Linked DNA regions of Cricetulus griseus. The protein of the gene in region 4 interacts with the protein of the main gene of each other region in a biochemical or structural test. Links are inferred from orthologs where the notes say so. Each region holds a gene or a part of one and is shown on either strand. Other genes may lie near its edges.

Evidence for each region. The genes of interacting proteins can lie anywhere in the genome.
Region 1: of the proteins of Xiap (region 4) and Htra3, one has a biochemical effect on the other in vitro, tested with the Homo sapiens proteins (3 studies listed by BioGRID and IntAct, with this or other methods). The link is inferred for Cricetulus griseus from reciprocal best matches to the Homo sapiens genes XIAP and HTRA3.
Region 2: the proteins of Xiap (region 4) and caspase-9-like form a complex in vitro, tested with the Homo sapiens proteins (12 studies listed by BioGRID and IntAct, with this or other methods). The link is inferred for Cricetulus griseus from reciprocal best matches to the Homo sapiens genes XIAP and CASP9.
Region 3: the proteins of Xiap (region 4) and Htra1 form a complex in vitro, tested with the Homo sapiens proteins (2 studies listed by BioGRID and IntAct, with this or other methods). The link is inferred for Cricetulus griseus from reciprocal best matches to the Homo sapiens genes XIAP and HTRA1.
Region 5: the proteins of Xiap (region 4) and Pgam5 form a complex in vitro, tested with the Homo sapiens proteins (2 studies listed by BioGRID, with this or other methods). The link is inferred for Cricetulus griseus from reciprocal best matches to the Homo sapiens genes XIAP and PGAM5.

What each region holds. Positions count from the first base shown.
Region 1 is NW_023276807.1:104,690,904-104,695,894, reverse strand, and holds part of Htra3 (serine protease HTRA3), read left to right. Parts: intron 1-328; coding exon 329-428; intron 429-3,154; coding exon 3,155-3,377; intron 3,378-4,991. UniProt on the Homo sapiens protein: Serine protease that cleaves beta-casein/CSN2 as well as several extracellular matrix (ECM) proteoglycans such as decorin/DCN, biglycan/BGN and fibronectin/FN1.
Region 2 is NC_048595.1:11,415,658-11,419,993, forward strand, and holds part of caspase-9-like, read right to left. Parts: intron 3,885-4,336; coding exon 3,705-3,884; intron 3,200-3,704; coding exon 3,090-3,199; intron 1,291-3,089; coding exon 1,201-1,290; 3' UTR 1-1,200. UniProt on the Homo sapiens protein: Involved in the activation cascade of caspases responsible for apoptosis execution. Binding of caspase-9 to Apaf-1 leads to activation of the protease which then cleaves and activates effector caspases caspase-3 (CASP3) or caspase-7 (CASP7).
Region 3 is NC_048596.1:69,844,716-69,849,706, reverse strand, and holds part of Htra1 (serine protease HTRA1), read left to right. Parts: intron 1-657; coding exon 658-852; intron 853-1,337; coding exon 1,338-1,370; intron 1,371-3,009; coding exon 3,010-3,124; intron 3,125-3,516; coding exon 3,517-3,574; intron 3,575-4,961; coding exon 4,962-4,991. UniProt on the Homo sapiens protein: Serine protease with a variety of targets, including extracellular matrix proteins such as fibronectin. HTRA1-generated fibronectin fragments further induce synovial cells to up-regulate MMP1 and MMP3 production.
Region 4 is NC_048604.1:25,910,004-25,915,670, reverse strand, and holds the start of Xiap (baculoviral IAP repeat-containing protein 4), read left to right. Parts: upstream 1-2,233; 5' UTR 2,234-2,261; coding exon 2,262-3,135; intron 3,136-4,316; coding exon 4,317-4,416; intron 4,417-5,667.
Region 5 is NC_048597.1:90,058,805-90,063,223, reverse strand, and holds part of Pgam5 (serine/threonine-protein phosphatase PGAM5, mitochondrial), read left to right. Parts: coding exon 1-4; intron 5-851; coding exon 852-977; intron 978-1,060; coding exon 1,061-1,149; intron 1,150-1,243; coding exon 1,244-1,377; intron 1,378-3,977; coding exon 3,978-4,128; 3' UTR 4,129-4,419. UniProt on the Homo sapiens protein: Mitochondrial serine/threonine phosphatase that dephosphorylates various substrates and thus plays a role in different biological processes including cellular senescence or mitophagy. Modulates cellular senescence by regulating mitochondrial dynamics.

The sequences.
Region 1 (4,991 bases), on a different chromosome or scaffold from region 4:
GGATTCTGGTCCCCAGCATCAGTCCTGTGCTTCCTGGAGCAAAGATCCAAACCTCTCTACAACTCCTGCTCAACCCTGAAGAGCCCAGAGGGGAAAATGTGCAGAGGCTCAACTCCCAGAAGTTCTAGTTAACCATTCTCCAGGGCAGGGACCACTATCTCAAATGTCTGGGTGTCCGTGTACTTCTGGGGAATGGGGTGCAGAGCATGTTGACACTGTCTTTGAGTCCAGGCAGGGGTCTCCAGCAGGGCCTCTTCCACCTTGGGCTTAGGGGCTTCTGGGAGCCAGGAGGTCTCATTGACACCCTTGGTCCTTGCCGCCAGCGCAGGTCTCCACCAGTTGACCAGCCCTCGGTACAAGTTCAACTTCATCGCTGATGTGGTGGAGAAGATCGCGCCAGCTGTGGTCCATATAGAGCTCTTCCTGAGGTACGTGGGGTCCCAAGTTGCTCTGCAGCTTCCCAGCCATTCCCATCTGTCCTGCTCCGGCTGTCACTCAGACTAGACCTGATTCCAGCAGCCAGAGGCATAGCACAGGTGGTGTGGGATGAGTAGCAACTATGGAAATCTGGAGGCTGAAGGTTAGCCTAAAATGAGAACATAGGAGTCAAGGAGATATAGAGGAATAGGGGACAGTCCCACTGAGGTGCCAGCTCAACAGGACAAAGTGTCTGAATCAGGCATGAGGGAGGACTCATGACTAGATGTGGAGGAGAGGGAGGACTGATTGAGTGGAGGTGGGTTGATAGGGAAGCAGGTTTGTCCATGGGAGAGGAAGCCCACTGTATAATGTATGGTCTAGCATCCTGGCAGGATCCCTCTTTACAGACAGGGAAAGAGCCTCCTCCTTCCTCCCACACCCAGTATTCTATCCCAGAGATGTTTGTGCTGGGTGAGGAGGCCCTGCCTTCCAGACACACCAGCCAAGGTCCCATCACTCACATCCGGTCCTGAGGTCTCAATTTAGACCCCCTAGAGAGAGGCCGGTTGTGTCAGGAGCCTCAAGATTCTAGACACAACAATCTCCACCCTTCTCGCCCTGCAGCTGAGTGGAGAGAGCCAGCTGGGATGGGGGAGCCAGACAGGAGCCCACCTGATAGGGATCAGGGAAGCTGGTGACCGGCTTATTAGTCTGACTCTGGTCTGGAGCCGCCTGGTTACTGATGTCAATCACCATCCCCTCCCTCTATGCTCCATGGCCAGCGAAGTGTCAGGCTACTCAACCTCCTGCCCACTAACAGTGGCAAGAGCCTCGCAGTGGCAAGGTGTGCATGGTGGTGGTGAGATATGGCAGGGGAGGAGGATGAGGCGGACTCATCCAGGGTCTAGCCTGAGCTCTGGACCTAGTCCATTTTGAGTCTGTTTCCTTAAGCTACCCTGGGGCTCCTGCTCTTCGACAAGAGAGGCAGATGTGGACTCAGCCCCAATGGGACTGTGGGACCCTTCTGCTTGCCATGTCCCTCCTGTGATTAACAACTTATAGACCTATGCTTCTCAAGGCCTTTCCACACACACACACACACACACACACACACACCATTCCACCTGGAGCGGGGTTTGACTCCAGCCTGTCTGACCCTGGAACAGAAGCATCCTCCTGCCATGTGTGATTTTTCCCTGCCCTTGCCTTTGGCCCTGGGGTAAAATCTGAGACACATCATTGAGGAAATTACAAATGGATGCCCTAGGAGGCTGTCTCAACCAAAGGGGGCTAAGGAGGGACTGTGTATTTCCAGAGGGCCTGGGGCACTAACCCTGAGCTGGTTAATCACAGGTTAAGGCAGCTGAGCAGCAGTGATGTCTGACTCGTGAAGCCAAAGCCTCATGGGTGGGTAAGGTCCAAGTCGGGCAGACAGCACAGAGCCTTCCAGTCACGACCCTTGACCTGAGGGTATGGGTGCAGGGCTCTCTTGGGCCCTGTCTGCAGCCTTGAGTGGCTGGATGTAGCTGCCCTCCAGGGCTTCTCAGAGAGACGTGACTGGTAAGGAAACAGACACTGCAGGAAGCTAAGCAGCCTGGCATGGTGGGAATCTTGCTGTGCTCTGCCTCTTGCCTGACCCCAGCAAGTATGGGAGGGGAGGAGGATACCACATCTCTGGGCCTCACTCTCCCCTGAGAGTTTTGTATAGCAGTGGTTATCTAGGGCTAAGTTACAGAGTCCCACAGACTGGAGGATTAAACCCCATTCTGGAGGTTGAGGGCCATGATGAAATTATCTGCAGGACATCGCACCTGGATCCTGGGCCAGCTCTTAACTTTTAGTACTTCCAGGCACCCTTGGGTTGGAGTACATCCTCCCCACCCATCTCCCATGTCCCCCTTGTCCTCTTCTGGGTTCCTGTCTTCTCAAGGTACTGATGCTTGGACATAGGGCCCGTACTCCATCAAAATGTCACAGTCCTGCCACACTCACAGAGACCCACTTCCAAATAAGGTCACACCCATGGAGCTGTAGTCAGGACTTGATCACATTTGTTTGGAGGACACTGACCCACAAGTCTCCTGTGAACTTTGAATGAACTTGTCCCTGGCTCCAGCGAGCACTTAGGATGTTTGTTGCTTTCCATGGTCTTGCCAGGCTGAGGTGACATTTTGAAAAGACTGTCACATGCTCAAGAGTGCTAGATAGACACTTGGGCTCATCTGCTTAGTGTCCTCAGGGCCTGTGTACATTTTGTGTTACCCTGAGGAGGATCCTAAGCTGCTCCAGCCTTCTGCCCCCTCCCATCCTTAAGCAGATGGCCCATTTCTCAGATGAAAGACAAGCTCAGAGAGCTTACAGAGCCTGCCTGAGGGCAGCTAGGTCACAGGTGGGACTAGCAGTTAGTGTCCTGGCTGTTTGTCTCCAGGGCCCTGCTGTCAGGCATTGGCGCCACTGTGGGATAGTGCATGCTAACATGTCAACAAGTACTGTGTCTCACTACAGCAAACTGCAGATCAGAGATGATGGTCATATCTTTATGGCCATGAACTAGGTCCAGCTGCAGTGTTGCCAAGGCTATACCCACAAGTGACAGCCTCAGTTCAAACCCAGGTGGTGGAGGGAGTGGTCCCCCACGCCTGTTCCTTCAACACATAGGGCTCTACTCCCTCCACTATGCTGACTCCCCCAGGCCCAGGCCTGGCCCTGAGTGTCCCCTGTGCTTTCTTTGCAGACATCCTCTGTTTGGCCGGAATGTGCCATTGTCCAGTGGTTCCGGCTTCATCATGTCAGAGGCTGGTTTGATTATCACCAACGCCCACGTGGTCACCAGCTCCAACACCGCCTCAGGCCGGCAGCAGCTGAAGGTGCAACTACAGAATGGAGATGCCTATGAGGCAACCATCCAGGACATTGATAAGAAGTCTGACATCGCCACTATTGTAATCCACCCCAAGGTGAATGGGATGGGGCGCCTCGGCCTGTCCCAGAAGTGCCCTCCCCAGATCGCACAGCTTTAATAGCTCAGCCTTCCCAGAGGATAGCAGCGATCTGAGGCCCAGGGCCACTGGTCACATCAGACCTAGAGCTCGGAATTGCCCTTGCCCAAGGTGCCAACACCAGGAGCAAGCAGGACACAAGAGGGAGGGGTTCAGCCTCCCATGCCTTCCCACCTCTTTATTGTCCTAGCCAGGCCCACATCTGGGGTTCCCTGTCCCTGCAGACTAACAGACCAGGGAAGTCAGTATCCACCTTCCACATCTGTTCCCATACTTACTCTGGCTATCACAAGACCCTTTATGGTCCCCGGAAGCTCAGGTGGTGTTCTTTCTGTTTGTGGCATAGCCCCTGGAGGGAGAACCCTCATCACCTAGACTGTTACAGGGAGAAATGGAGCCTTGGGAAGATTAGAATTCTCATCATTTGGAATCTGAGGGGAAACTGGGGCCCAGAGAGGTTAGACCTCAGACCTAGGACCACAGCTAACAGTGGCAGGCCCAGCGGGCCAGGCCTAGATACAAGTCATTCTCAAACTGGATTTATTGCAACCATTGTACCACTGCATGGCTCTGGGATGGTTATGGGAGTCTTCTGTGTCCCCTGCATCCACCATCAAACAGGTCACTGTGCTTTTAGTCAGGGACAGGCACATAATTTCCTTTACTTGTCTGTGTGCCTAGCCCATCCTGGATGCAGGTTCTCAGTGTACATGGTGACAGATGTTTGCAGAGTTCACTACCTAGATGGAGGATCCATAATGGACTACCCTGATACAGACCCTCTGTAGTCCTGAACCCTGTCATGAGCTGAATCTGGGTGCACCCCTTCCTCCTGATGACATAAAAACTGAGAGTGGGTGGGACACACAGGAGGGCTGAAGTGGCAGGAACTCTTCACACTGTGAAAGCCCACTTCTCTGTGACCAGCATGCAGCTCTACTGTGCTTAGAGTATACAGGCTAGGAGGGGCTGCATGCTCAACCCTGTGCAGCTGCAGGAAGCTATAGGGCAGCACAGGATGCCACAGCCCTTCCACGGTTTCCATGGTGTTAAGAGCATAAATGATTGCTGTGGACATCAAGGACACTGCCCTGACGTGATTGGTAGAGCATGCCTGGCTTTCATTGGTAATACAAGCTTGATGTGTGTATCTCAACGTCACAGACAGACAGACAGACAGACAGACAGACAGACAGACACACACACACACACACACACACACACACACCTAGAGCCTCTGAAGCTCAGAACCTGTGCCCTGCAGCTCCCCAAACAGATACGCACATACACCTACTCTCTCGGACCACAGCAGCCGCAGGGCTGGATAACTGAGTTCACAGACAGATGGGCTCTGCTAGCCCTGTGTGAAACAGTGTTCAGGTACCTAGCATGCCAGAGATGGCAGGGCAGTGTTTCCTTCCCAGGCCTCAGTTTCCCTGTGTGTCTATATTAAGAGATCAAAGATTCCAAACTATGTTTCCCAGGCCCATGGCAGGGCTCTGGGGAGCTATATACCCCTCCTCCATGCCTCTGTTGGGTGCAGTATACTAAGCCTGGGGACCTGCAGAGAAA
Region 2 (4,336 bases), on a different chromosome or scaffold from region 4:
TAACCCCAGGGCGCTGAGGAGGGCTGGAACCTAAGCCTGTGAGGAGCCTGGTGTGGTGGTGCGCACTGTAACCCAGTACTCGGGAGGCCTCAAGATGAAGATTTGCAGGCCAGCATGGACTACAAAGTCAGAGCCCAGCTCAAAACAAACAAACTAGGCTTGTACCCCTACCATCTGAGCAAAAGTGGATGTTCTCAGGGCAAAGACCACTGAAATCAGAAAAAAAGAAAAAACAACTAAGTAAAAGTCAGGACAGCTGTAAAGATCCAGGGACAGCACCTTTTCTAGGGACATCCAGCACTGCACCATTGCGCAGTCACTGCCACCAGGGGGCAGGCTCACTTAGCAAGGAAGACACTGGGAGACAGAGGTGGGGACTCAGGATAGCTGAGTTCTGTCCAGGTGTCTCCAGTAGGCTGACGGTGATCCTTCAGACAGGAGATGGGATCCATGGGGACTCCTGGCTCCCCCACACCCCATAAGTTACCACCTGGGCTCAGGCAGGGATCTTAGAAGACTTGGAGAAATGCTCAGAAAAAACAAAAAAGTCTCCTTTGTAGGGAAGAACAGGGAACAGGAGTGGGGATGACACAGGCAAAACAAAGTCCCTTGGCCTAAGATTCACTTTTTTAAGAACAAATTCTGTGCTAAGGGAAGAAACTTGGACCAGACTCACAGAGCCAGGTGTCCACACTGGGTCAGCTGGATGCGGGTCTGGGAAAGAATGCTGGGATATATGATCCACAGACCCCTGTGGACAGTGCTCCTCCAGTGTTATGTCTCCTAGGGCAAATGTGACAATGTCTGAAGACATTTCTGGGTGGTAAAACTCAGGAAGGGTGCTCGTGGCAACACCCTTTGATACACAAGACAGTCCCATGACAGGACTATACAACCCCACATGTCAGTAGGGCAGACTCAGAGAAGTCCTGCTCTAGAGAGGACCTGGGGGTCACAGGCCACAGTCCCTAACCTCAGCTGAAGAGACACAGTGACAATGACAGCACTCTGTCCCTCTCCCTCCAATGCTCTGCCTCTCTCACCAACCTGGGAGCTGTTAGGAGCTTGTCTGCCAAAGAAGGGAAGAGAGCGGCCTGCCACGGTTCCAAAACCCTGGCTTTGCAGGACAGTCCAGTCTCAGTCACCTCCAGGCCATGAAGGTTTAGGGGAACATTCAGGCAAGGAGCAGCCCCAGTCTCATTAAGTTTTAAAAAACAGCTTTTTCCGGAGGAAGTTAAAACAGCCAGGAATCTGTTTATAAATCCCTTTCTCAGAAACTGCATGGGCGACCTGCAAAACAGAATCACAGGGGCAATCTGTGAGTTCAGTGTCCTTGTCTGAGGCCTTAACTGAGGGGGCGGGCCACTGAAGGGGCCATCTGAAGGTGACCCTACCTACAGTCTCCTGGGGTGGGTTATAGAACAAACACCTCAGCTACTGGGAAAGAATGGAAAATCCAACTTCTCTAATATAAAAATTCACAATTCCAATCAGACAGAAACGCTAGGGGTAAGGAAGTGGGGAAGAGGAGACCCAGAGACAACATGAGCTGCTCAGCTGTCCTCTGTCCTGTAGGGCCCCACGCAGGACCGGAAGTGACTCCTAGAGCCCAGGGGTTGCACTGGGCAGAGCAGTGGAAACCCACCGGGCCCTAATTGTTGTGGAGCAATCTTTTCAGGGGGCAGAGATGTGCTGCCTTTGTTTACCTGAACTGTGCATCGGTGTTACTTTTGTTTATGTTGCACTGGTTAATGATGTAAGGATGTGTGTTTACTCATGAAAGATGAGTTTCACATTTGTTTCACCTTGCCTGCCTACAGCACCTGATTGGTCTAATAAAAAGCTGAACAGCCAATAGCTAGGAAGGAGAGGGATAGGCAGGCCTGGTGGGCAGAGAATAAATAGGGGGAGGAGCAAAAACTGGAGGAAAGAGGGAGAAAGATGAGGTCTCACTGGAGGCAAGAAGCCAGGCATCTGCCAGCCACACAGGAGGGCAGTGAAAGTATACAGAAGGAAAGGAAAGGACAACCCCAAAGACAAGAAGTAAATAAAGAGAAGCAGGTCAATTTAAGGGAAAAGATCTAGACAAAAACCAGCCTAAGTGTAGCCAAGCATTCATAACTAATAAGAAGTCTCGGGGGCTGGAGAGATGGCTCAGTGGTTAAGAGCAATGGCTGCTCTTCCAGAGGACCCGGGTTCTATTCCAAGCTCCCACATGGCAGCTCACACCTGTCTGTAACTCCAGTTCTAGGGGACCTGGTATCCTTACACCAATGCATATTAAATAAAGTTTCAAAAAAAATTTTTTTAATTTAAAAAATTTCTTTAAAAAAAAAAAAAGAAGTCTCCATGATTTGACAGCTGGTTGATGGCCAAAAGAAAAAGCCTGGTATACACCTTATGGGTACAACCAAGTGCCCTGAGGTGGCTGGCTGCTATGAAGCAAGGCACTGCCACGCCCCTTCCCTGTTCATTCTCATTGGGGCCTCCAGGAAGGGAACAATCTAGACAGAATCACAATGCTTGAAGATAAAGAGTCATAGCATGGGGCTGGGGATGTAGCTCAGTTGGGAGATTACTTATCTAGCATACGTGACACCCTGGGTTTCACCCCCAGCACTGCATAAATTGGGTGTGGTGGTTAACACCTGTAATCCCAGCACTCAGGAAGTAGAGGCAGGAGGACCAAAAGTTCAAGTTCATTGCTCTTTGCATGGCAAGTTCTAGGCCAGCCTGGGCTACCTGGAACAATCTAAAAAGAGAGCACGTGGGGATGTGCCACAGAGCTAAGCGAGAAGCATATGGCCAGGCTTCAGGGTACCATGCTCTTGCCACTGAGCCACCCCACCTGGCACTTAAGACCACTTTGTCTTCTGGGAACCAGATGCCTGTCTGCTCATCTGTCTCTAAAGAGTCGGGAAAAGATGGCACTTTGCAAACAGGACAAACGTCATCGCCATGGTGACATTCCTCATTTGAGAGACAACGTGCTCCCTGACTCTCAGCCAGGGCCCATCAGCATTTACAGCAGACTAGAGCCTGCTGCCCTGCTCACCAGGCCCCTCCAGCCCTCAGAAAGAAGTACTCACCCTGAGAAGGAGGGACTGCAGGTCTTCAGAGTGAGCCCACTGCTCCAGGACACCATCCAAGGTCTCTATGTACCAGGAGCCGCTCTTCTTGTCTCTCCAGGAGACAAAACCTGCAGGAAGACAGGATGAACTCTGCCACACAGTGGAGTGGCACTCTCCTTGGCAGAAGAAGCTGGGTACAGCCAGATCCAGACTGTGGTTTGTGGACAGGTGGCAAAGGCGGCCCCATCCCTGTGGCTCCCTGCTACTTTTCACCCTCAACACCACTGACTGCCTGGGGCTCCCATCTTCTCAGTATGGAAATCGAGGTTCTGAGAAGTCAGGGGTCTCAAGCAGATTGAAGGATGCACCTTATCCCTGCCCTGCCACCAGGTGCCCATCACAGTGCTGAGGGAAGTGCCAGCCGCTCCCTTGTCGAATCTGCAGGTTAACCCCAACGGGAATTATTATTCTTAATCTACATGCCAGTCTGAAGCATTGCCTGCTTCACCCTGAGAAGGGGCTTAGGAGAGGTGAAGTGACTTGCCAAGGACCCCACAGGCTGTGTCCAGCAGAAACAAGACCTCAGGACATAGCTGCCTCCAGGGCTAAGGGCGAGTGCACAGATGGGCTCACCTGGGAAGGTGGAATAGGATACAAGGATGTCGCTGGGGGTGGGCAAACTTGACACGGCATCCAGCTGGTCAAAGGGCCTTGGGCCTTCCTGGTATGGGACAGCATCTGGCTCAGAGTCACTGTCTAAGTCCCTGCCTCGAGAGGAAGTGCAGGCCACCTCAAAGCCATGGTCTTTCTGCTCTGTAGGGGGCAAAAACAGACACCCAATGTCACAACGGCGGAGAAACACTATAGCACAAGGTACTTCTCCTGAAAAGGGAAAGGCCTGGACCTGAAGGCTTCACCTGTGAGCTCTGCCAACATTGGAAGGACTGAAGCTCTATATGGTAAAGCACACCTGTGCTGTTCTCACTATGCAGACCTGACTGTCTGGGAACTTACTATGTAGACCAGGCTGGCCTTGGACTCACAGAAATCCACCTGCCTCTGTATTCCCAGTGCTAGGTTTAGAGGCATAAACCACCATGCCCAACAGAGTATTTATTTTTAATTGTGTGTGGGGGTGAGGTATGTGCACATGAGTGCAATTGCCCACAGTGGCCAGAAGAGGGTGCCGGATCCCTTGTAGCTGCTGATGTAGGAAGCTGCCCAACGTGGTTGCTGGGAGGCCATCTGGGTCTGTGTAACAGGGT
Region 3 (4,991 bases), on a different chromosome or scaffold from region 4:
TCAGGTGACCTTAAAGTGAAAGGGTCAAAGACAGGGTGGAACTGTGTCTGGAAAGGTGACATACACTAGCTTGTCTCAGCACAGTTGCTGGAACCCTTCATTCAATTTTCAGGGACTTGAATACTGGTAAATAGCTGATGCTCAGCTGATACAGCGGCCAAGCGGGCTGTTTCCAGAGAGCTGGTCAGGCTCCTATCATTGGGTTCTCACAAGATACCAGTGAGACTGGTGGACTGTCTTATTCCCACTTCTCAGATGAGGAGTTCATGCTTGTAAGCTCAGGCAGAATTTCAGTTTGGCAGCCTGACCTCAGCCTGTGCCGCAGATGACTGGTGCTCAGAATCCCTATCTAGGACTTTGATCTCTAAGCCCATCTTAAGCTTAGGTTGTCTCCCTTTGTCCTCTGTCCAGCTGCATGGATAGCTTCAAGATGTGAGACCCAGAAATGATCTATCACTTCTTCTCATTTCCCTTGCTGTGAGTGTCTTGTTTCGTTGACTCCCCAATTGCCTGTGGAGTGTGGATTACAGTAGGGGCTTGGTACCTAGTTTAGCACCAAGCTCAGCCCCTAGGGGCCAGGACTGTATTTGCCCTCTGTATTTGCATTATCCAGTTTGCTAAGCAGCAATGCAGCAATGACTGTCTTTGTGCTTGCAGGGAAAGCTGCCAGTCCTGCTGCTTGGTCGTTCCTCAGAGCTGCGGCCGGGAGAGTTTGTGGTAGCCATCGGAAGCCCTTTTTCTCTTCAAAATACGGTCACCACCGGGATTGTCAGCACTACTCAACGAGGTGGCAAAGAGCTGGGGCTCCGAAACTCTGATATGGACTATATTCAGACAGATGCCATCATCAATGTGAGTCCTTCACTCCCTCTACCTGCTGGGGTGGCGGCAAGTTTTTACCAGAGGAAGCTAGCTAGTATTCCCAAACTTTCTTGTATTCTGCATGAATTCTTGGAACTAGAATAAACCACATGGAGTATAGTCCTACCCGGTTGTGTATGGGTGGTGGTGGTGATGGTGGTGTCCCACTTGGGGTTAAAACAGAGTTGAACTATGTGGTCCTGAAGCAAGTGGGTAGCCAGTCTCATTGAGGAAGTCAAAGCAGATTAGGTGCTCACAGTGGGCCTGGAGGTAAATGATCCCACTATGGCATATCCCAGGCTTTTTGAAAATGGTAAAGATCCTTCTTCTAAGCCGAAATTAGGTGAGCAGAGACAAATCTTGGGAAGAGCGCTGCCAGCTGCTTCAGCACAGTGCTTTGAAATGTTTTGGGCAGGGACATTGGTTAGATGGTGACGTGAAACAGATCTGACCTTTTCCTCTTGGTTTTGTTTCAGTATGGAAACTCTGGAGGCCCCTTAGTAAACCTGGTAAGGCCTTTCAGTACCTATGCTGTGTTTGTTTCATCTGTGGGCATGCTACTTCCTTTGCTTTCTCTTTGGACATGAGCTTGTCAGAGCACATGACATAATTAACTTTCTACTGTGTGAGTGTACTGCATCTTCGCACCTCACCCCAGCAGCCCTTTCAGGAAGCAGTAAGGCCAGAGGACACACTTGTGTTTCAGGCCACAGGTGGATGCCATGAAGTTCTAGGCAGAAAGGGGACTGAAGGTCCCTGCAGTGCTGCCATCTGTGGAAAAGGTGCCTGCAGCCTCGAGGACGGCTGAGTGGGGATGAGCTGGCCTGGCTTGCCTCCATGCCAGAACCCTCCCTGAATGCCTGTGGGCATGACGGGGAGACATCTGTTTGCTCACAGAGCTCTCACTTAACCTAGTCTTTAATACCTCAGCATAAAATTGAAGGCGACAGAATGCCAGAGCTTGGGAGTTGTTTAAGAGAGTATAAAATCAAGGCCACCCAACGATACCTCCTGCTGGGTCCCTTGGTGTCAGGAACTGATATGTGCAAAGTACACTAGGAGCACTGTGTGCTGAACGTTCCTAGGGTCTTTTTTTTTTTTTTTTTTTTTTTTTTTCCACCAGAAACTTCTCAGGGAAGAGCCATATCCTTACTTGTCCCCACCATACTTACCCTGGGGCAGCTGTTGGGAGTAGATCCTGGGGTCCAGGCTCAACTCGGTATCTACCATTGGAAAAGGAGAGCAACTCAGAGATTATGGAAGCATTCTTCCTGTGAAAAGAGCAAGTGTTGTGGATTTTGAGATCATCTGTTCATGCAACGACACAAAGATTAAGCTCCTACTTAGATCTTGTGTCTATCCTTCCAAATCCAACTGTGTCTGGTACTACACAGTACCCTACTGTCTCTCCCCTCACTATCCCCAGGCCTCCTCCTTCTAACCCTCCTGATTTTCACACATAGCCAAAATACTCTCCCTGCTATGTGTCTATATATATGAGCATTTGCATGTATGGCCACAAGTGTGGGTGGATGGGGACGTGTTGCCTGTGCACATGTGTGTTTGTGCCTGAAGCTCAGGGTTGATGAAGGATCTTTCTCATTCACTTTTCCTTTTACTCAGTGAGGTGGGGTCTCTCAGTTGAACCCACAGCTAGGTACTACAGCCAGTCACACTAGTCAGCTTTCCCTTGGGATTCCGCCTCTGCCTCTGAGGCTGGAATTACTGGCAAGCCACCACACACACCCAGCATATACATGGGTTCTGGGGAATCCCAACTCCCAGTCCTCTCATTTGCATGGTAAGCACTTTAACCACCTTGTCATCTTCTCAGCCCACGCTTCTTTTTTTTTTTCCTTTTTATTAATTGTTTTAATTGTACGCATCTGTGGGGTAGAGTATGCGATGACCAGTGAAGATAGCATCCTCCTCTCACTCTTGGTTTTGGAAACTAGGTCCCAAACCAGAGCCCAGGCGGGCCAGGATCTCACAGAGATCCTATCTCAGCTGCTCTTGAGTGCTGGGATTACGGGTGTGAGGCGCCATAGCTGGCAACGCCTTTGAAAGACTTTCTGTCATGGATTCTCTGCTCCCTTCCAGCCTGTGCCTGCCTCCTGGGTTGTTTAGTGAGCCATGCTTGCTTTTCAGGATGGCGAGGTGATTGGAATTAACACACTGAAGGTGACAGCAGGCATCTCCTTTGCAATTCCATCGGACAAGATAAAGAAATTCCTGACAGAGTCCCATGACCGACAGGCCAAAGGTAACCAGGTCCAGGTATCCTGGGGACCTTTGCAGGTTCAGTCCTGAGGCCTAGCTGGCCCCTGGGGACTTGGGAAAGGGGAAGATGACAGTCCCTAAGGCCAGTCCTCTCAAGGGTCCAGAGCCAATACATTTTACCAGGGTGGTAGTGGTGGGAGACTGAACAAAGGGGGTCTCAGTCCAGATACCCATAGGGGTTAGGAAGAAAGAGTCATGCCTGAGTTTTTGATAGTTTCTGAAGTGAGAGATGGGAACCCAGGCCAGGACTGAATCACAGTCTTTGGGTGCCCCCCTCTGGCTCATGCTACAAACTGGAACATTGGAACTCTGGCTCCCGTGTCCCAATACTCCCACCATCTGGGCTGACCTTTTGTCCCTTTGTTGTCACACCAGGGAAAGCTGTCACCAAGAAGAAGTATATTGGTATCCGAATGATGTCGCTCACATCTAGGTGGGTAAACAGGACACATAATTATATAAATATGAATGTCTACTCTGTATTTATATAAACCTGGCCATTGCAAGGCTTCAAGGGCATTCTTGAAGGGAAACTATTTCCTTCAGATACTTCAGTTTCTGCTTAAAAGTAAGTCTCACTGGGGAAGGGGAGGGACTGTTGGGCTTGGGCCTCTTGTTTTTGCATTCTGACCACCTGGAAAACTCTGCCCTCCTCCCCGAAGGCAGGCCTGAACAGCAGATGGCTGGCGCACTCCTGCACACTCTCGTGCCTGCCTCTCACCACTTGTTCTGTTGAAAATCACATTCCAGGAGTGCCCCAGCGCCCGCCCCAGCCTGGAGCACCCGCCTCCCCTGCACGCTGCAGCGTGGGGTGTGGCTGCAGGAATGCCCGGGCAGGCCCTGCCTCGGGTTACTGATGACGGATGGACTTGTTTTCCTGAGTGTGAAAGTTGCTGCCTGGGGTTGCCAAGCTCATGGCATGCTAGAGGAGGTTGGGGGAATCTGCATGAAATAAAGGAAACCAAATTGACCAGCATGTCTGAGTCACTGTAGAGCCAATGTATATTGATAGTACTGTTTTACCCAGTTGTCAAAATATTAGGACACTCCATATAGGTTATGAACAATGGTAGTTTTCCTAGTGTTGCCAAGGATAGGGCAGCTTGCTGAGACTGAAAATCATCACACTGGTTGTCTTGGGTAACAGAAGAGATGGAAGCGTGGGTGAAGGAAGCTAGGGTCATCTTTCTGGGTTGTTTCCCCAAGCTCCTGTGCTTCTCAGCTTACTCTCTTTCAGGATGAGGTTAACAGTGTGGGTGTGCCTACTGTATCGTCAGGTATAGCTCAGCATTGGTAATGACAAGCAGCTGTAGCAACAGCTGTTTTGTGCTGATGGTTAAACTAGTTTCCTGCTATTAAATAGCAACTGTTGATGCTAGTAGGCAGGCCATTTTAAAGGAGAATTGGGGGCTGGGGATATGGCTCAGTGGGTAAAGTGCTTGCTATGGTAGTATGAGGACCTACGATCAAATCCCCAGGACCTGTGTAAAGCTGGGTAGGGAAGTATGTGTCTCTAGTTCTGGTGCTATTTATACCAATATTGGAGGTAAACAGGAGACTGTCCATCACAGGCCAGCTAGCCCGGTGTATGCAGCAGCAAAGAAGAGACACCGTCCCAAACAAAGTGTAAGGCAATGACTGAGGTTGTCCTTGGACCTCCGCATGTGTGCTGTGCTGTGCCAAAGCCTGTGTATGTATGTGTCATGATCAAGTAAAGTCTTGAAGTTGAGAATAAGAAGGGAATTTGGTGAGAGCCGAGTGTTGGCACAGGAAAGCTGTGGGTGCTTGATATTAACATGGCGGCTTTGTCTCCTAAGCAGCAAGGCCAAAGAGTTGAAGGACCGCCACCG
Region 4 (5,667 bases):
TTTTACTTCCCTGGATGTATGCCCTAGCTCCTGTGTTAGCTGTCTGTCTGTTTGTTTTTGAGATTGTGTATCACAGGCTGGCCTAAAACTTGTTATGGAGCTGAGAATGAGCTTGAAATTCTAATCCTCTTGCTTCCACCTCCTAAGTTCTGAGATCGTTGGTGTACTGCCACACCCAGTTTATGTAGTGTTAAGGTTAAACCCAGGGCTAGGTGAGTACTCTGCTACATTAGCAACATCTCCATCATTGTCTAATTGGTTTTGAAACTTATTTGTGTGTGTGTGTGTGTGTGTGTGTGTGTGTGTGTGTGTGTGTGTGTGTGTGTGTGTAGACCTATGATTGTGTGCATGTGAGTGTAGGTGCCCAAGGAGACCAGAGGCATTAGATCCCCAGAAGCTGAAGTTACAGGTGATGTAAGCAGTCTGATGTGGATATCGATGCTGGGAACCGAACTCGGGACCTCTGGAAGAGCAGTAAGTGCTCTTAACTGCTGAACCACCTCTCCAAACTCAGCTCTTGTCTAGTTTTTGAAGAGGCTCAATTTAGGGGCTGGAAAGATGGCCCAGTGTATTGTGGAGGCAGAAGCTGGCTGGATCAGCCAGCTCGTAGTTCAGCTGAAAGATTCTGCCACAACAAAGTAGAGAATGATAGAGAAAGATATCCATGCACATGCATGCATACCAAGCACACACATCTACACAAAACCAAGAAGAGCTTCCATTTTGTGTTCCATAATGGCAGTGCTAGTTTACATTCCTGTTTGTAGGTCCTTTTTTCATATCCTCAGCAGCATTTGTTGGTTTTTGTCTTTCAAATAATAGCTATCCTGATAGGTGTGAGGTGATACTTCATTGTGGCTTTTATTTGTATTCTGGTGTTTAATGTGGTAGTTGGCCGATTATACATCCCCCTTTGAGAAATATCTGGATATGTATTCATTGCTACATCAGAATCTTTCATTTTTGCTGTTATTTGAGTTTTAGCCATTTGTTTATTTTGCATTTCACAAACATACTGAGGACAGAATGGCAATGTGGAAGATTCTGGAGAACCAGCTTGTCTTGTAGCTAGGGTGACCACATGTTCTTCTATCTGCTTTGCCTATGGTGACCATGATTCATGCCTGTTATCCTTATGCAATTATTAGTAGCATCATTTAGCACTTTACCATGTTGGAGGACAAACTGTCTTGCCACTCTTCCCATAATGCAGCTGATTCCTCTTGGTATGTTATTTGGCCTAAACATGACATCGTTGTAATTTGGCAACTGTAATGAGTGTTAAATTCTCTTCCATTTAAACAGGCTATTTCTTGACCAACAGAAGTTGATGGCAAAAGTAACTTCAATTAATATCTGTGACTTTTAGAATGTTTAAGTCATTATAATATTTTGTTTAATATTTTTATTAGTTCTTTGAGAATTTTATGCATGGCATTTTGATCACAGTCACCTACCTCCCCAACTCCTCCCAGATCTACCACCTGACTTTGTCCTTTTGTTTAAATGCAGCAAGTTTAATTTGTGCTTCCTATATACCCTTGGGCATGGCCTCCACCAGACCACTTTTTTTTTTTGCTAAGCAAGAAAGTAAAAATATATTTAAAATTAATCCATGAGCATTCTAAACATTCATTTTTAAGTAGTAAAAATTGAACTTTGATGCCTTGAATATGAAATGATTCATTATAACTATTATGCATAGTCTTTAATAATCTGCATGTTTTATGCTGCATTCATGTTTTTCCTAATTAAAGGCTTCATGTGTTTAATATTTATAATTTTTCTGTGTCATACTTTCCATATTTCTATAAAATGAGTACTTAAGATTCGTAATTCTGCTGTTTGTTTACATATTGTTTTCCATCAAAAGAGAAAGTGGGACTGAGATTGAGGCTCATTTTCGGCACTTGCCGAAAATGCCAAAGACCCTGAGGTGGATATCCAGGACTACAATAAATAAGAGAAACAGGCTGGTTTATAGTTCTGTGTTGGAGCATGTGTCTGGCATTGTGTGAAGCCTTAACACTGAAAGAGAAAAAAAACAAAAGCACCAGATTTTAAAACTCAAGTAGTAATGTAAGGCTCTAGTGTTTAGAATTAAATGTGTCTTAGTGATTGTACCACTGTTTTTATGTTATCAGTGGATAATTTGTTAGTGCTTAGTATCAGAAATATGTTACTTTTGTTATGTGTTTTGGATTTCCTAATGCAATGTTCTCTTTTTAGAAAAGGTGGACAAGTCCTATTTTCAAGAGAAGATGACTTTTAACAGTTTTGAAGGATCTAGAACTTGTGTACCTGCAGACACCAATAAGGATGAAGAATTTGTAGAAGAGTTTAATAGATTAAAAACATTTGCTAACTTTCCAAGTAGTAGTCCTGTTTCAGCATCAACCTTGGCACGAGCAGGGTTTCTTTATACTGGTGAAGGAGATACTGTGCAGTGCTTTAGTTGTCACGCGGCAGTGGATAGATGGCAGTACGGAGACTCAGCTGTTGGAAGACACAGGCAAATATCCCCAAATTGCAGATTTATCAATGGTTTTTATTTTGAAAACAGTGCCACACAGGCTACAAATCCTGGTATCCAAAATGGCCAGTACAAAGCTGAAAACTATGTGGGAAACAGAAATCATTTTGCTCTTGACAGGCCATCTGAGACTCATGCAGATTATCTTTTGAGAACTGGACAGGTTGTAGATATTTCAGATACCATATACCCGAGGAACCCTGCCATGTGTAGTGAAGAAGCCAGGCTGAAGTCCTTTCAGAACTGGCCAGACTATGCCCACTTAACCCCCAGAGAGTTGGCCAGTGCTGGACTGTACTACACAGGGATTGATGATCAAGTGCAGTGCTTTTGCTGTGGTGGGAAACTGAAAAATTGGGAACCCTGTGATCGTGCCTGGTCAGAACACAGGAGACACTTTCCCAATTGCTTCTTTGTTTTGGGCCGGAATGTTAATGTTCGGAGTGAATCTGGTGTGAGTTCTGATAGGAATTTCCCCAATTCGGCAAATTCTCCAAGAAATCCAGCCATGGCAGAATATGAAGCACGGATCATTACTTTTGGAACATGGATATACTCAGTTAACAAGGAGCAGCTTGCAAGAGCTGGATTTTATGCTTTAGGTAAACTTAACCAGTAAATTACTTTCCATCTGTCATAGGGCTCCTAAAAAGAAAATCATTGCCTTTAGTCTTCTGAACTAATAAATATTTAGGCATAAGTTTTCAGGATTGCTTATCATTAGTATCATTCTCTGAACTCATATGTTAAATCTTCATTGTCATTACTGAATTTATGCTTAAAAGGCCATGCTATTATGAGTCAGATCTGTATTCATACAGTTGTTTGAGGGTTGAGTTGAGAGAAGAAAAAAGATGGTATTGATTCCTGATAAATAATGGGTCTAATAGTAATAATAGCTGCCATTTAACGAGCATCTACTCTGTATGCTCAGCATACTTATTACATGGATTGTCTGTAAGCTTCACCACAACCCTATAAACAGAGTTAACAGAGAATTTAGGTTGGTTCATGGTAAACTGACATCAAGCTAAGCATGGTGCCACATACCTGTAATTGCAGCAGTCCATAGGCTGAGGTAGGAATGAGTTTGAGGGCAGTTTGGGCTACGTCATGATACCCTCGAAAAGAACCAAAGAAAAAGTAACATCTTTAACATACGCTACATATTTGAAAGCTGCCCTGTATTATGCCTTATTGCATCAGAGTATTTTTGAAACAGTCACAGTATGTGACTTAAAAGCCAGTAATATGGTTGCTTCTAGGAATATTTTATATCTGCATGCCTGGTCCACTTATTTTAAGATTGAATAGTGCTAAATTCAAAATACAAATTATTTCAAATTTTTTTCATTTATATAACATAGTAATCTTGAAGGTCTTTTTCATGTCAGAGAGCTCTATCCTTAAAGACACTTACTTTGTAGTATCTGCTGAATTTTATTATAGTTAACATTTGGAATATAACTTGTACAGATTTCAGTTTGATGAAGTAAGTGTGATAGTAATGACCCAAATGACATGCACTAGAAAGAATGTAACAATTGTAGTTTTTAACATAAAATCTTTGATTTTACTTTTGTTGTCTTCTACAAAGCACCCCATATCGGGATGGTAAATTTAGTGTGTATTTCCTGTCAAATGATAAAGATCGTATCTAGATGGAATATGAATGTTTTCCTTTAAGCCATGAGATTGTATGTAACTTAGACACCTCTTAAATGTTAGAATGGGCATTTTTTGATGCACAGATACACATAGTTTTACGTGCATGTTTCCTTAGGTGAAGGTGATAAGGTGAAGTGCTTTCACTGTGGAGGAGGGCTCACAGATTGGAAGCCAAGTGAAGACCCTTGGGAACAGCATGCGAAGTGGTACCCAGGGTAAGATTCTTAATTGTTCATTCAGGAATAGGCAAGTTGGACATTGTGCAGGAGAAAGATTTGAATTACTTTTCACCTCAACTATTTTTGCCTTCACTATGGCTTGTAATTCACACCAAGTTTATAGAAATGGGGTCACCTACTTCGTAGGCCAAAAAAAAAAAAACCCACCTAAGACTTCTGGTAACCAAAACATTCACTGTTCATATATTATATGAGGGTTCCATTTATAAACACCAAATTACAAAAATGTGTACTTTTTATTTAGTATACTATACAAAAATATATCCTTTTTATTCAGAAGTAGACTCTTTGGCGAGTGACCTGAGCCCATGGTACCATGGGAAGTCCTGAAGAGCTGGCATAATGTATATTATTATTTGTGTTTTGTTTGCTTTTAGTTTGAAACAGTTTCTCACATTAACTCGGTTGGCCTGGAGTTCACAATGTCTTCCAGGCTGGCCTCCATCGTGAAACTCTCTTGTCTCTGTAAAATAAAGTACTCAGCTATATAAGTTGTATGAGTTTCTAATATATAAAATAATACAACTTAAAATTTTAGAAGAACCATTTGAAAAGACTCTTCCTTAAGCAACCCAAGTGTTCCGTATTGGTTTAAAAAAGAACCCATTTCCTATGGAAAGAACCTTTGTCAGCCTAGATACAGAAGGGGAGGGCCTTGGTCCTGCCTCAAGTGAGGCCTCGCCCTCTGGAGGAGTGGATTGGGCGAGGGATGGGGAGATGGTTGGGGCAATGAGAGGGAACTGGGATTGGTATGTAAAATAAGATTGTTTTAAATGGCCGGGCGGTGGTGGCAAATGCCTTTAATCCCAGCACTCAGGAGGCAGAAGAAGGTGGATCTCTGAGTTTGAGGCCAGCCTGGTCTATGGATCGTCAGGGCTACACAGAGAAACCCTATCTCAATTCCCTCCCCCCCCAAAAAAAAGATCAGTGTGAAAATACTAATTTAATAGCTTTTTTTTTTTTTGCCTGTTAGCAGTTTTGGATTTTCTTGTGTTTATTATAGTCTTGTTATATGTAGCCTAAACTGGCCATAACTTCCTATGTAGACCAGGCTGGACCTAAAACTTGTGGCAATATTCCAGCTTCTGCGTCTTGAGTATTATAGAGGTGTGGTATCATGCCTGCCTTTTTGTTTGTTTCTTCTTTGAGACAGGGACTCTTGGAGCTGGCTCTAGCAAGAATTCACTATGTAGCCAATGGTGGTTCTAAACTTCTGATATTCTTGGC
Region 5 (4,419 bases), on a different chromosome or scaffold from region 4:
TTAGGTATGATTGCTTGAATGATCTTGAAGTATCAGCTGAACTTGGGATGTAGTCCTTCTCCCTTTCTTTCCCCATTTCAGCATGGTGGTGAGAGAGACAGTCTCAACAATGTAGTTTAGGCTAGTCTAGATCCCTGACCCCCTGTTTTTCTTCCCAAGTAGGCGGGAACATGAATACATGGTAGTGTGCATTTACATTTTAAATAATTTCTTGTTTGGATGATGTATTTCCCATTTGTACACATATTCAAAAGTTGGATGGTAATATGTCTCCAGGTGTGTTCTCTAGCAGATTATGCCACCAACCTGAGGAGTTACTTTGTTGCTTTTGACACCTGGGCATAAGCAGAAAATCAGGTCATCAATGTGGTGATGGAGGTTCCCATATTCAGTATAGAAAATGATTTTCAGAACAAGACAAAAGTGATTTCTTGGAGTGTTTCCAGCCATATGCTAAAGTACATTTGACAAAAAGCATCTATATTTAATACTAAGAGTCAGTTTGTAGTTTGTTTTGAGACAGGCCTTGAACTCATGGCAATCTTCCTGCCTCAGCCTCCTATATTATGTTCCCAACTGGAACTTGATTTTGAACATAGTTGAGTAAAAGTAGGAGGAATAGCAAAGGGTTCACATTCCACTGCTGGTAAGTTAACGCACTGTTGCTAATTGAATCAGGTGCGTTTCTCCTTGGGGTTGAGGACAACTGATTGTTTCTTTGCTCCCTGAGGATCTGACCCTGGCTAAGCCTTTGAGGACATCATCATCAGTGGTGCTTGATGGCATTTCACTGTTTGTTCAGTAAGTGGAGGGTCCTGGTATATGACTTTCACAGTTATTTTTCCTTCAAGGTCGGGAACAGGCTGAACTTACAGGGCTCCGACTAGCAAGCCTGGGATTAAAGTTTAATAAAATTGTCCATTCCTCCATGACCCGTGCTGTAGAGACCACAGACATTATTAGTAAACACCTGCCAGGTGAGTACTGGTTGTCTGCCATGCTGAGGGTATAGATTTAGTCTTGGGGATACATTGCTGAATAGGGGTCTCCCCTTTTCCAGGTGTCTGCAGAGTCAGCACAGACCTGCTACGGGAAGGTGCCCCTATTGAACCAGATCCACCTGTCTCTCACTGGAAGCCAGAGGCTGTGGTAAAAATGTCATTCCTTGTGCCACTGGAATAGGGCAAGGCCTGCCTTTAGCCTTGTCTGTGTCCACACTGACAACTCCTTGCTCTGCTCCTAGCAGTATTATGAAGATGGAGCCCGGATTGAGGCTGCCTTCAGGAACTACATCCACCGAGCTGATGCCAAGCAGGAGGAAGACAGCTATGAGATCTTCATATGCCACGCCAATGTTATCCGCTATATTGTCTGCAGGTAAGTGCCATTAAGGACTCCTGTGTTGGGCCAGGCATAGTAGGGCACACCTTTAGTCCCAGCACTAGGGAGGCAGAGGCCAGCCTGGTCTACAGGACTAGTTCCAGGACAGCCAGGGCTATTACACAGAGAAACCCTGTCTCAAAAACCAAAAAAACAAAACAAAACAAAACAAAACAAAAAAAACCAAAAAAAACCCAAAACCTCCTTCCTGGCCTTGGGTTTCCTCAGACTAGGAGCTGTGTTCCAGCTTCCACTACCTTATGAGAATGATGAATGTCTAGGGACCATTCAGAGTCCTGTTTTCCACACACTTGTTCCAACTGCCTGTTGGTAGATGCAGTAGCAGTTAGCACTGGACTTGGTCTGGTATTTTATTTCCTTCATCCTGTTGGTATCAGAACTTCTATAAGTACTGTCTTTCTCCATGTTTGTGAGCAGTATGAGCACCTTGTGGGTCAGGATACTTGTCTGCTAGTCCTGTACATGTGATTGGACATGCATACAATCACCTGTTGTACATCATGACCTGTGATTATTGGTTTGCTGCTCAGCAGAATATTCCAGGCTCATGCTATTTTCCTATATGCCTTTTTTAGCCACTTCTTTATGGGTGCCAAGGTAGTAGCCTGCTCCCTATTTTTAGATTGTCCCCTGTGCCATGATGTATGTTCCCATCACACCTGACCAGCAGCCCAGGGATAGCTATGGGACCTGGTGGTCAGTTAGGCGAGCCTGAGTCCCAAGAAAATACAAAATGTTGGAAAGCTGGGAATCCCTACTGGGCCCTGGAGCTCCGTATCAGACTGAGAACTGGTAGGAGGAAGGTGGGTAGTACGGTGGACAGGTGCTTCTAGGGTGATTGTGGTCCCAACTACTTGTTATACCCTTGTTGCCTAGGGTATATCCTATGCATTCCTCTCAACATGTGAACAAGCCAGGAATGGCCTATTTATTTTGTACCTCATTATCTTATATTCTGTAACAGCCCCTAATGACTGACATTGATGTTGAAAATGCAGAAAGAAGAAACTAGGCACTTGGGAGTACTTACACTGTGAATAAAGGCAGAGTCCTTCTTTCTTTCAGGAATGATCATTATCCTGAGTTGTGATGGATAACACTAAGACTGTAGTCGTCTGGGCTGAGGTGTGGCTTAGTGGTAAATAGCTTGTCTGGCATGTATAGGAGCCTGGGTTTGATCCTCAACAGGAAGGGTAAAAAAGAGCTTGTGTGGAGGTCAAGGACAATTTTGTGGAGTCACTTCTCTCCTTCCTTCTACCTTTATGTGGATTCCAGGGACTGAACTCAAGTTGCCAGACTTGCACAGCAAGGGCCTTTGCCCAAGTTGGGCCATCTCATGGTCCACTTTGTTTAAAAATATACTTCATATGTCAGGTGTGGTGGCACACACCTTTAATCCCAGCACTTAAGAAGCAGAGGTAGGCAGATCTTTGTGAGTTCAGGCTAGCCAGGATTACATATATAAAGTATATATAAAGTAACCCATTTATGACTTGGATGTGGTGGCACTTACCTTAATCCCAGCAGTTGGAAGGCAGAGGCAGGTGGATTTTTGTGAGTTCTAGGCCAGTTCTATATAGTAAGTTCCAGGTGAGCCAGGGGTTGCACAGTGAGACTGTCTCAAAATAAATGAAACCTGTTTATGTGAAAATCTATATAGCCCTTTGAGGATCTAGAAGCTCTTTTTAAGCAGCAGAACACCACAAAGCATACAGTGTTCTAGCAGACTGGGATAGAGATGTAGCTTCATTGCAGAGTGCTTGTCTAACATGTATAAAGACCTGGGTTTGTCTTGTCTCCAGCAACACAGAAGCCCAGCCTGAGCTACATAAAACCCCTTTCTTTAAATAAAAGGGATACTATGTCCCTTTTCAGTATTAGCTGGGACATATCACAGGGCTTTTACAGTATTTGTAATTTAAAATTGTAGCAGGAAATGTCACATGTGTTGGTAGGCTACATTGGATTTAACTCAGGCCAGTTCTTGAGGGTAGAGCACATTCGATTACTAGAAAATGGCAGAGACCAAACTGTTCAGTAGATACTCCTGTATGTGTGTGTGCCTGCATGTAGGTACCCTTAGAGGCCAGAAAAATAGGATTCCCTGGAGCTGGGGGTATTAGAAGTTGTGAGCTGCCCAACATAGGTGCTGGGAATTTAACTATGGTTCTCTGCAAATACTCTTGGTCCATCTCTCTAGTCCCATTACCTGTGTCCTTACAAAAGGAAATCCTGTATGGGGTCATGTGTTATACTTTTATTCTGGGAGACCAGCCAGTTTCTGTCAAATACTTGTAGCACAAATGTGGATGGTGCTTGTTACAGTGCTAAACAGCCTTGATATCATTAGCCCTGAGCACATTTCTGAATTAGCTGGGTTGGGGCTTTGTTCCCACTTGTCAGATCCTTATTTAGTGTGCTATTGAGACCTTTCCCCTGAGAATCCTTTCCCTGAAGACAGTTATCACCTCAGTTGAATGTGCCTACTCCAAAAGGCTGTCAACCTTGCTTGACCCAAGAGCAGCTAGCTCTGTACTAATCTGAGATTTCTGCTAGCATCATCTTTCTCTCCCCAGAGCACTGCAGTTTCCTCCGGAAGGTTGGCTCCGCCTGTCCCTCAACAATGGGAGTATCACCTACCTGGTAATCCGACCCAACGGTCGTGTTGCACTCAGGACCCTTGGGGACACAGGATTCATGCCCCCAGACAAGATTACCCGGTCCTGAGATTGCCTGTAGGACTGCACCCTTTCCTCTGCTGGTGGCCTGGCTGCAGCCTTCCCTTCCTTGTCTTCCCTGTCTAGGCTATGCTGTGGCTTCATGTTGTCTCCAGGAAGAGGATAGATCAGTGTCACATTTGGGTGCTTATTTCTGGCCCAGGCTGCAGAAGGCAACTTATGGGTTAGATGGCCTTTTTAAAAGCTTTCTACCTTACCATTACCACTAGCACAGCTCTACAAGGTGTAGATGGGGACCTTCTGGGGCACAAGGCAGACATATCATGGGGACTGAACCGGC